3 linked regions of the Ovis aries genome follow. The protein of the gene in region 2 purifies or fractionates together with the protein of the main gene of each other region. This does not show direct contact. Links are inferred from orthologs where the notes say so. Each region holds a gene or a part of one and is shown on either strand. Other genes may lie near its edges.

Region 1 (3,745 bases), on a different chromosome or scaffold from region 2:
ACTGTGGGTGCCCTGCAGTTTACAGGTGCTTTACCGTTCATTGCCTCATTTGATCCTGTCGGGCTACCAGAATAGGTTCAATGACCATTGTACATATGAAATAACTAAGGCTCAGAAAAGTTAAATGACTTGTCTGAAAGCTCACAAGGTTGGGTGGTAGAACTGGCTGGATTTTGGCACGATTTTTCTTCACATGCAAACCCAGGTGTTATGGTGAACCATTTAGATTGGATAAAAACATCACTGTCATAATGGTTTGCCTCCCATATTTTGACAAGAGCAGCTGGAATAAGGCTCCCTGCAGAGATGGACTCCGTGGGTGGGTGACAGAGTGGTACAGAAGGGGGAGCCAGGTGGCCCCACTGGACAGACAGTAAGACAAACCACCTTATCGAAAAGGGCCTGGGGCGGTGGTGTTGTGTGTATAACCAGCCAGCCCAGCAGGGCCCAGCCTGGTGTGGCCCTCCAGGACTGTTCCCAAATTCAACCAAAACTTTGCCCCTCTGCCACTCACCCCTGGTGGAGCAGTCACTGCATCTGAACTTGAACCCAGGCTCGGGCCATGGGGCAGCCCTCCTTCTTCACTGGGGGTCAAGGAGGAGGGGCAGCCTGAGGTAACCCACTGGGCCACCAGAACACCTATGGCCCCCAGTTCCCTGGGAGAGGCAAAGGCAGACTCTTACTCTTCAGGCCTCAGGGGTCCACCGTGTCCAGAGCGCACGACTGCAGGATAAAGGCTGGTGAGGGCATTTCCTCCAGGGCTAGCCCTCCGGAGTTGCATCTGGTCAGGCAGCTGCCTGCCACCATGGCTGCAGAGCCCAGGGCATTCGGCCAGCGAGATTCGTGAACAGCCTGGGGTGTTCATCACTTAGAACCAAACAGCCACCTTGCAGGGGTGAAAGGCTGCCAGGAGGTCCCCTCGCGATGGAAGTGGTCCTCGTGGAGACTGCCTCAGGAACGCACGCATGACAAACTGACCTGAAAACACCGCAAGGCCCTGGATGTGACACTGTGATACAAGACGGTACCTGTGGGGAAGCCTCTGTGTTCTTTCTCACAACTGCCTGTTAATCTATGATGATCTCAAAATAAATAGTTAAAGTGAAACACCATGGGTGCTCAGTGGCTATTGTCAGGGGACAATGAGTTCTAAGAAGCCACATTCCCACTGAGTTGAAGAAACGTCAGTTATTTGGTGCTCCCACTCAGGCTTGTTGGTTCCTCCCCCCCACACAACTCACAGAGGTCACTTTTGATTTGGGGGTGTGGGGAGTTCTGGGGCTAAAAAGAGATGAGTGCTGGGCCAGGGTCACAGAATTAGCATTGGAGGTAATTAGATATGAGGGTTCATAAATAGACTGCCCAACAAGATGTGACGAAATCCCACAACTCATTCTGTGGGACTCCTGCAGAGAACCCCCATCCTCGGAGGAAGCCTTGCAAATCCTATGTCAAAGGACCCCACCTTGATTGGTACGGGCAGCCCAGACAGGGGCCATCGGGTTAGTCTTCCCAGAGAGCGAACCAGGACACACACGCCGGCGACCAAGTGTGCACAGACTTGGAGGTCAGAGCCCACCCTCGGGTCTGGCCCGTCTACCACCACTGGGGTTCTCCTCCTTGCCTGACCGCGCCGAGCGGGGGGAGCGCAGAGAAGGGGCGAAAGCCGATCCCAGGCAGCGGTACGCCCGAGGCCCCCTCCTCCAGGACCCCGAACAACTGCTGCTCTTCATCTGCGGCAAGGTCCACCCCTGAGACCCTCGCAGACAAAAGCTTCTGCCGCGAAGGTGCCGCCCCCGCAACGGGCAGAAGCGCCAGATCCTATCAGCCAATTATCCAAAGCGCACAGCCACCCGCAAGTTCGGGCACGCTTGGGCCCGGGCGCGGGCAGCGGGAGGGGCCGCTGGTCCGGCGCGCCCGGGGAATCTGGGCCTGGGGCGCGTCGGGAGGCTGAGGGGCTGGTATGCAGGGCCGTGCTGGGGACTGGGGGTCCGGTCCGGGGATCGAGGACCCGCTGCGTGTCTCCCCCTCGCCGGTTCCAAGGTTCCTCCGCTGCGAAGGAGGCGGCGCAGCCAGGGCCCTTCCCCGGCCCGGGCCCCCAAGGCCCCTCCAGGGCCCCGAATCCGATCAGCCCCCGGGTCGCCCCGGAAACATCGCCCCTCCACCGCGCGGTGCGCCGGATCGCCGCCGGCTTGTGGAACAAAAGAGCCACTCTCGCAAAGGGTCGGGCGGCCGCGCGGCCCTCCGAGCGCCGGGGCTCGAGCCGAACCTTACCGGGCTGCCGGGCTTTGTGCGCGCGCAGGGGCGGGAAGGACTGAGGGACCCCGGCGCATCTCACGGACGCGCGCCGCGCTCCGAAGTTGTGGTCGGCGCCGGCCCCTCTCGCGCCGCCCAGTCCCCTTCGGGGTGCCCATTCATTCGTGGGGCGTTGGGGGGGGTGCGCAGACTGCCGGCCCCCGGCTCACCTTGCTCTTGACTTCCACCGCGCTGCAGTCGTAGAAGCGCAGGGTCTGAGACTTGTGGAAACTCCGGTTCATGGTTCCGGCCCCGCTTAGCCTTGGCTTCGCCCTCGCTCTTCGCTATGGGGACTGCAGAAGGACCCTGGGTGCGCCACCCGCCGCCGTGGCCCCGGCCCCGGCCCCGGCCCCGGCCCCGGCCCCGGCCCCTGCCCGCGCTCGCTCGGCCGCGGGGCAGCTCGAGTGCAGCGGCCCGAGCAGGGCTGGCCGCGCGCCTTGGGCACTCAAGGGGCCGCGCGCGGGAGGAGCGGGGTACGGCGGCGCGCGCCGCCCCAAGGACCCGCCCCCCGATACCCTAGAACCCACGTCCCGCCCCGAGCCCGGAGGATCCGCCACCAATCCCTGCCCAGCGCCCAGAATACCCGCCGCCAGTCCCCGCCCCGGGCCCAGAGCACCCGTCCCCCGAGGACCCGCCCGGAGCCCCGAGGACCCGCCCCACGAGCCCCAAGGGCCCACGTCCCGCTCGGCGCCCTGTAGACCCGCCGCTAATCCGGTTCCCTAAGGACTGGCCCGGCGCTGAGAAAACCCGGCTCACATCCCGGGGACTCGCCCCACGAGCCTCAAGGCCCAGCCTCGCGCCCTGAGGCCCCACCCTCCGAGTCTGGAGGACACGCCCCCCGTCCCGAGGACTCACCCGACGCCCCACCCAGGGCTCGTCGGCCCGCCCCCGGCCAGTCCCCGCCCCGAGCCCCGCCCACGGGCCCGCCCCCGAGGACGCCGCTGCCGGGTGGGTGTTCACTCCCGTCCGCAAAATCAAGAGCAGGGGAGAGAAGCCCGGTTGACTCGCCCGGGACGTCCACACTTTTTCTCCCTTGCTCGCTTCCGCCAAGATTTTGTTAGCCTCCTCCCGTCGTCCAGGAAAGGGGTCTGTTTTGGCTGATTTTCAACGTTGTCTTGGGTGATACTGGACTCACGGAAGCCTGACCCCCTTGGGTCCATCTGTCCGTTAGAGCTGCCAGGTGGTAGATGGTTTGGGCAGAGGTTCTGCACGGAGGCAACATCCTAAGGCGTAGTCTAGCACAGGCCAAAGGTAAAGGGTTCGGAAGGGTCAGAAGCACCCATAGGCCTGTCTGATGAGAAGGAAGACTTCTGCCAGGGCTGGCAGAAGCGAGAAACGGAAGAAAGACATCGTCAGGTGTGAGCAATGTCGTGGGTGCTTCCTGTCTAGAGCGCTCTTGGAAGCGGGGCTGCGGAAACCGAAATCCTCGCTCTTGAGGAATCTCTGATGA
Region 2 (3,645 bases):
GGTCCCAGGGATGCTCCTGCAGAGCCTCCACCATCTCAAACACCCGCCGGTGGCGTGCCTCCTCTGGCAACCTGGGCAAAGGGACACTGTGAGCCAGGTCACCAGCCACCAACGCAGCACGGCTGAGAGTGTTGGCCACCCATTAACTACACACATAGCACCTGCAAAGCAGTGGGCGCTGAACGTGTCAAGCATGGAAAGACTGCTAAGATGCGTCGTCAAGGGGAGAGAGAAGGAATGCATAGAGACGGAGAAAACCCCCCAAGGATGCAGACACAGGGGGTACAACCACCAGGAAAGGCCAGGATGTGGTTTCTAGGAAAGTCCATGTGATGGTTACCTCTGGGGGAGGGAGGGAGTTGTGACTGAGAGGGGCAGGAGGGGGATCCTGGGTTGGTAGGGGCGGGGCTGGCAAAGTTCTGTCTTTGCCCAGAGTTGGCTGCATGGACACTCGCTTAACAAGAATCTGTTAAAATGTACATTCAAATTTAGTGCATTTCTGTAAGGCAGTGGCATTCCATAAAAATAGTTTTTAAGCCCCACAAAACAAAACTCTGTTATCAGTTCTTGTGGCCTTGAGCCCCTCCTCCTCTTCTGGGCCTGGAATGCTGATGTGAAGTCTGGAGGTGTTGCAGCCAACAGAAGCCTATGAGGCAGCAGGCACGGGACCAAGAGCCAACACCAAGGATGAAATGGAAACAGCCTGAATCCTGAGGGCGCTTCTATGCTCAAACCCAAACCTAACATGGTACATTTAAAACAAGGATTTAAACTCATAGGAGGGATTCCCAGGGCACTCAGGCTAGGAAAGCCCAGCAAGGGCTCCTCCCTGACCGACTAAATGCCCATCGGTGTGGGTGAGGTGGGTGCTGGCTCGGCCACAATGAGGAGTAGGTCCTTCCGCTGTCCTGCCTGCAGGCCAGGCGGCCCTGTTGAGCACCAGCCATGCCCGGCCCCCTGCAAACAGTCCTGCTCCAACCACGGTCACACTGCCCAGTGTGACTCTACCCTGCCCAGCGCTCAGAGGGACCCAGCCCCAAGCATGGGCCGGAGCCCTGAGGAAGCTCGAGCCTGAAGGGGCTGCATATCCCGGCCCTGCGGTCTCCACCGGCTCCTGCTGGACTCTTCCGCTGCCTCCCTTTGGGGACCTGGCACGCCCTCCCCATTCCCAGACCTGATCTGAACTCCTCTCTACTTCAGACACCACCGTCCAGGAGCAAAGATTCTGAAACGATCCCAAGAACCCTACACGTTGTGGCCGTCGGGTGTCTGGGGCCGTGGAGCCTGCCTGTGAGCGAACAAGTAGCCAAGACTCCAAAATGTGAGCATCAGCAGAATTCGACCAGGGAGGTCTGGGCCTTGTCTGCCCTGTGGCAGAGCCCCCGGGCTTTGAAAGGGGTGGTACCGGTGCCAGGGACACCGGGCTGAGAGCGGCATTGTTGCACGGTCTTTATGAGCCTCCTTTTCCTCCTCTTTAAATGGGATGACAAGTACTCCCAAGACCCCTTTTGGTGCTGGGGTGCTAATATTTTGGAGGGCGAGATTCTCAGTTTGGGGGACAGGTTGGGGGGTGCTCAGAGTCTGCCCTCCTGTCCCCACAGACTTTCTAGGAGAGAAATGATAAGCTCCTGAGGCATCACTGGGGTGGAAGGGAGTGGGCCGCGTCCACCTTGCGGGCATGAGGGGCCCGGGGCTCACCGCTGCAGCACGGCGTCTGAGCTGATGGCCTGGTCCTCCAGCACGTGAAAGGCCGGCAGTTGCACTGCGAACACGTTGCCACTCTCGGTGCCCAGGTAGAGCAGCTGGCGGGAGGAGTGTGGCAGGACCACAGTGATCTGCGTGGCGCTGGGGGCAGCCCTGCAGATGGGAAGGACGGCCTGTGAGCCGGCTACTGCCCAGGCAAAGGGGGACCCACGGCGGGGGTGGGTGGGGGGGCGGAATCCCGCAATTCCCTCAGTGGCGCCAGGGACACCCAGGCCTGGGGTGCCCTTTAATGGCGTCCACAGCGATTCAGACCGCATAAACATATTTACTGTTTTCTGCCAAGGCTGCAGACCGATGGCAGAGAGCTGGGGCTCAGGATGGGGTGGGGGGGGGCAGCCCGCAGCCCAGCCTGCTTCCTGGCTGGGGGCGACAAGACTGAGTTCTCACCCTGGGGGGCCACGTAGCGTGAACGTCTCATCTTCCTGCAGCTCCGACACCCCACCTTTGACTTTCAGGCTCCACAGGTGCAGGCTGTTGTCATCCAGCAGGGTGACCAGCTGGCACTGGGGAGGGAACGGGGCGGGAGTGGCCGGTCTCATTAACCAGGGCGGGGCAGTGTTCCCGTGGCCTCAACACACCGGGGCTGCCCAGGGTGTCATTGCAGAGATGCGGGTCATGAACTGCGGCTGGGAAAAGGCAAGTTTGTCCCGGGTCCTCTCATTAGCACCAAACCCACTAAGAAGGGCGTGGGGTGGGCTCACCTGGCCAGGCAGGAAGTGGATCTGCACCACAGCATTGTTCTCGCGGTGCAGGCCCATGAACTCCACCCCTGGGGCACCATAGCTAGGAGGGGAGGGCTCAGGAAACAGCTCCAGAAGGCAGGACCCTCCTCCCACTCCCGGAGTGCAAGTACTCAGCAGAGAGGGGCTCCCTCCCCCAGGCAGCGGGACCCCTCTGTGTGGGGGGGGGTCAGGTGGGGAGGAGGCAGAAGTAGGCCGGCGGGGCTGTCTTCTTAGAAGGGTGAAGCCTCATCTTGGCAACTGTCAGCCTGCCCACTGCAGCCCCGTTCTCCCTGAACCCCAAAACCTGAGCTGTAGGAGACCATCAGCCACCACATGGTGGCACTGGTGAGGAGACACACAGCGGGCACCTGTGGGCCCACCCACGGCAACCGGGAGCGCGAGTCTTAGCACTGAGAGCTGTAACCAGGATATGGCCGTGGGCTGGCAATGATTAACCAGCTGAGGGAGGGCTGAGCCCTGTGGGACCTGGCCTCTGCACCCCTGTGCGTACACCACCCCCTGCCTAGCTCCCCACCCCCATCCGGCAGCAGAGGAGCAGGAGGGAGTTACTGCTTTGCCGAAAGTGCCAGCTGGGCTCTCCCCGTGTGACCCCTACCCCCACCTCCCAGTCCCCCTGGGTCTCACCCTGGGGGCTCAGGTCAGATCCAAGGGTGGGACTCACAGACTTGTAGCCCAGCCCAGGCCAGATGACCTGAGCAGTGATCCCCCATCCTGGCTTCTGAATAGACCCACTGGACCATGTTGACCCTCAGGCCAGGGAAAGACTGTAAGGACAACCAACCTGTGTGCGTGCGTGTGTGTGTCTATGTAGACTGTCTCTGCCAACCTGTGTGTGTATCTGTATGTGTATGAGGGAGTGCACATGACCAGGGGTAGAAACTAGAAGAGCAGCTGCCTTAGGACAGCTCCTTTGACTCAAGGCCACCCTGTCTCTAGTTTGGACAGAGCCCTGGGGCCAGTCGACTAATTCTTCCGGGGTGGGGGTGGGGAAAGAGAAACAAACCGCAGCACCACTGCTCAGCCCATCCCCTCCCTGCACTCGCTGCATTCAGGGCTGACTCCTAAGAGGGTACTTGGAACGTCCCTGGAACGAGAGGGGTCACCCACAACTTGTTTTTATATGGACAGTGGAGGAGTC
Region 3 (3,745 bases), on a different chromosome or scaffold from region 2:
AGATAGATCAGCAAATTCAAACACGCTTAGATGACTTACAAGCCGCCCTTATGTATGCGGGGGATGATCTGCATGCTTTACAGGTACAATTGAATTGCGGTGTCACTGGAATTTCACTACTTTCTGTTTGCCCAATATGCCCTACAATGCCACTGAATATCCTTGGGAACAAATAAAGTTACATCTTTTAGGTTCAAAATCAAACAGTCTAGATATAGAAAAATTGAAGCAACAAATCACATCTACCTTCAGCAGCATTCCCCCTGTGTTATAGAACACTGACTTCTATAATGCACTATCCACTAGTACCTCCTTTCTAAATCCAAAAAATTGGGTACCCCATACGATGGCTACTTATGCGCTGATCTGTTTATTGTTTGTTATTGTTCTTGTAGGATTCCGAACGTTATGTGCCCGAGTCACCTCCGTCCAAAAAACAGGAGTAACTGTGGCTGCAGCAGTCCTTGCTCTTAAGGAAAAAGGGAGGAGATAAGGAGGAGCTGGAAGGCTTTGAGCAGACATGGAAAATGTATTTGCTCCACTTATGACGAAGGTTGGGAGCTGGAACGAGCATAACGGAGGGTTATGAGCGTGCATCGAGTGCCTGAGGCTGGAAACGGATGACGAAGGGTCAGTACGCCCGGCCTTGAAGCGTTCAAAGGCTTCCTTATGACCACCTGTTTCCTGGGAGCAAGGACTGTTGTTTCACGATAAGACTCCCTTTAGAGTTTTGCCAAAGTCACGTTATGTCTTAGGTGGTGGGAACTGTATTTTATGCTTGAATGCTTTAATGTTTATCTGGAATGGCTACGTGCAAGTCTGCCTTATGCTCTATTCCCTGAGAATTATAAAACTGCGCAGCTGGATAATCAACTTTGTCAGTCCACTAGAGGCTGTCCCTGAATGTTCCTTTCAGAGCGCGGTTCTCCGAGCCTTACAAGAAGCAACAGTAAACACAGTTTTCTTTGTAGAAATTGCTCATGGTTTCGAATAAGTGGATGCCTCATTTTTCATAAATTCTAAATGAAAAGCCAACAGTTACTCAATATTTGCATTTTAGTCACAGTGTAAACAATTATTAATCTAATCAACAAGTATTTATTGAAGCATCCTATGTCCTATGAAATTTAGATCATTCCATTCTCCCAGAATCCTATGAAATACTATTATGCCCAATTTCCAGACAGGGAAAAGTTCTGACAAAAAATTTACACAACTGGTGAATATTAAAACGGGACTTCCACTCTAGACTTCAAACCCACAGCTCTAAACCATCAAATCTGGAATAAACGCTTGCTGATTCTGTTAGTTAAAGCAGTAGACCCCCAGAAGCCTCGCGATATTACTGGAACTACTGATCCCAACATGCACAGCGGCTCCTGTGAGGCGGCCTAAGCCGCAGAGTCCGCGGGGTCCCGGCATGCCTCGAGGCGCGAAAGGCAACCTGGGAGCTGTAGTTCTCCTAGGCACCTACCGGTATTGCCAGCGCGGCGGTGGCGGACCGCTTGGTTCCAGTTTGTAGGTCCTGTGAGGGCGAGCTGAGGCGGAGAAAGGGCGTGGAACTGGAACCGGGTGAGTCAGGCACTGTCTACGCGATAAAGGGAGGCGGCACCGCGGAGCGGGGCTGACTTAAGTCAGCGCGGCAGTCTTTTCAGGGACACAGCGGTCTCGGCGTCAGCGAAAAGAGAGCGAGGAGGCGCCAGAGCCCGGTTCTCGTCCTTCTCTCCCCGCCGCCCTCTTCACCATGCAGTCCCGGGAAGAAGCTCCGCGCTCTCGCCGCCTCGCCAGTCCCCGCGGCGGGAGGCGTCCCAAGAGGATTTCCAAGCCCTCAGTTTCGGCTTTTTTCACGGGCCCGGAGGAGCTGAAGGACACGGGCCATTCTGCAGCCCTGCTGGCCCAGCTCAAGTCTTTCTACGACGCGCGGCTGCTCTGTGATGTGACCATCGAGGTGGTCACCCCCGGCAGCGGGCCTGGCACGGGCCGCCTTTTTTCCTGCAACCGTAACGTGCTGGCGGCCGCGTGTCCCTACTTCAAGAGCATGTTCACCGGCGGCATGTACGAGAGCCATCAGACGAACGTGACCATGCACGACGTGGACGCCGAGTCCTTCGAGGTGCTGGTCGATTACTGCTACACCGGTCGCGTGTCATTAAGTGAGGCCAACGTGCAGCGCCTTTACGCGGCCTCCGACATGCTGCAGCTGGAGTACGTGCGGGAAGCCTGTGCCTCCTTCCTAGCCCGCCGCCTTGACCTGGCCAACTGCACGGCCATCCTCAAGTTCGCCGACGCCTTCGACCATCACAAGCTGCGATCACAGGCCCAGTCCTTTATAGCCCACAACTTCAAGCAGCTCAGCCGAATGGGTTCGATTCGGGAAGAGTCGCTGGCAGATCTGACCCTGGCCCAGCTGCTAGCTGTCCTGCGCCTGGACAGTCTAGACATCGAGAGTGAGCGGACCGTGTGTCACGTGGCGGTGCAGTGGTTGGAGGCGGCTCCCAAGGAGCGGGGTCCCAGCGCTGCAGAAGTCTTCAAGTGTGTCCGCTGGACCCACTTCACTGACGAAGATCGGGGCTACGTGGAAGAGCTGCTGACCAAGCCCATTGTAAAGAAGTACTGTCTGGACCTTGTTGAAGGGGCCCTGCAGATGCGATATGGTGACATGTTGTGCAAGTCCCTGGTGCCCAAGCCAGAGAGCAGCAGCAGTAGCTCTGTTGTGTCCATAGCAGAAAATCCACCCCAGAGGCTGGGTATGTGTGCCAAGGAGATGGTCATCTTCTTTGGCCATCCCAGAGATCCCTTTCTGTGCTATGATCCATACTCGGGGGACATTTACACAATGCCATCACCTTTGACCAGTTTGGCTCACACTAAGACTGTCACCTCTTCAGCTGTCTGTGTCTCTCCAGACCATGACATCTATCTAGCTGCCCAGCCCAGGAAGGATCTCTGGGTGTATAAACCAGCCCAGAATAGTTGGCAGCAACTTGCCGACCGCCTGCTCTGCCGGGAGGGCATGGACGTGGCATACCTCAATGGCTACATCTACATCCTGGGTGGGCGTGACCCCATTACTGGAGTGAAGTTAAAGGAAGTGGAGTGCTACAGTGTTCAGAGGAACCAGTGGGCCTTAGTGGCTCCTGTACCACATTCCTTCTATTCCTTTGAACTCATAGTGGTTCAGAACTATCTTTATGCTGTGAATAGTAAGCGCATGCTCTGCTATGATCCTAGCCATAATATGTGGCTGAACTGTGCTTCTCTTAAACGGAGTGACTTTCAGGAAGCCTGTGTCTTCAATGATGAGATCTACTGCATCTGTGACATCCCAGTCATGAAGGTGTATAACCCAGCCCGGGGAGAATGGAGGCGTATTAGCAATATTCCCCTGGACTCGGAGACCCACAACTACCAGATTGTCAATCATGGCCAAAAGTTGCTCCTCATCACTTCTACAACCCCTCAGTGGAAAAAAAACCGGGTAACTGTGTATGAATATGATACAAGGGAAGACCAGTGGATTAATATAGGGACCATGTTAGGTCTTCTGCAGTTTGACTCTGGCTTTATTTGTCTCTGTGCTCGGGTTTATCCTTCCTGCCTTGAACCTGGTCAGAGTTTCATCACTGAGGAAGATGATGCACGGAGTGAGTCTAGTACTGAATGGGACTTAGATGGGTTCAGTGAACTGGACTCTGAGTCAGGAAGTTCAAGTTCTTTTTCTGATGATGAAGTCTGGGTACAGGTA

Evidence for each region.
Region 1: the proteins of LLGL2 (region 2) and PARD6G purify together in Homo sapiens (affinity purification with mass spectrometry; 4 studies listed by BioGRID and IntAct, counting the BioPlex papers as one, with this or other methods). This does not show direct contact. The link is inferred for Ovis aries from reciprocal best matches to the Homo sapiens genes LLGL2 and PARD6G.
Region 3: the proteins of LLGL2 (region 2) and KBTBD7 purify together in Homo sapiens (co-immunoprecipitation; 4 studies listed by BioGRID and IntAct, counting the BioPlex papers as one, with this or other methods). This does not show direct contact. The link is inferred for Ovis aries from reciprocal best matches to the Homo sapiens genes LLGL2 and KBTBD7.

Annotation. Positions count from the first base shown.
Region 1 is NC_056076.1:518,192-521,936, reverse strand, and holds the start of PARD6G (partitioning defective 6 homolog gamma), read right to left. Parts: upstream 2,735-3,745; 5' UTR 2,538-2,734; coding exon 2,466-2,537; intron 1-2,465. UniProt on the Homo sapiens protein: Adapter protein involved in asymmetrical cell division and cell polarization processes. May play a role in the formation of epithelial tight junctions. The PARD6-PARD3 complex links GTP-bound Rho small GTPases to atypical protein kinase C proteins.
Region 2 is NC_056064.1:55,338,170-55,341,814, forward strand, and holds part of LLGL2 (LLGL scribble cell polarity complex component 2), read right to left. Parts: intron 2,548-3,645; coding exon 2,466-2,547; intron 2,268-2,465; coding exon 2,152-2,267; intron 1,858-2,151; coding exon 1,699-1,857; intron 72-1,698; coding exon 1-71. UniProt on the Homo sapiens protein: Part of a complex with GPSM2/LGN, PRKCI/aPKC and PARD6B/Par-6, which may ensure the correct organization and orientation of bipolar spindles for normal cell division.
Region 3 is NC_056063.1:11,790,227-11,793,971, reverse strand, and holds the start of KBTBD7 (kelch repeat and BTB domain-containing protein 7), read left to right. Parts: upstream 1-1,464; 5' UTR 1,465-1,744; coding exon 1,745-3,745. UniProt on the Homo sapiens protein: As part of the CUL3(KBTBD6/7) E3 ubiquitin ligase complex functions as a substrate adapter for the RAC1 guanine exchange factor (GEF) TIAM1, mediating its 'Lys-48' ubiquitination and proteasomal degradation.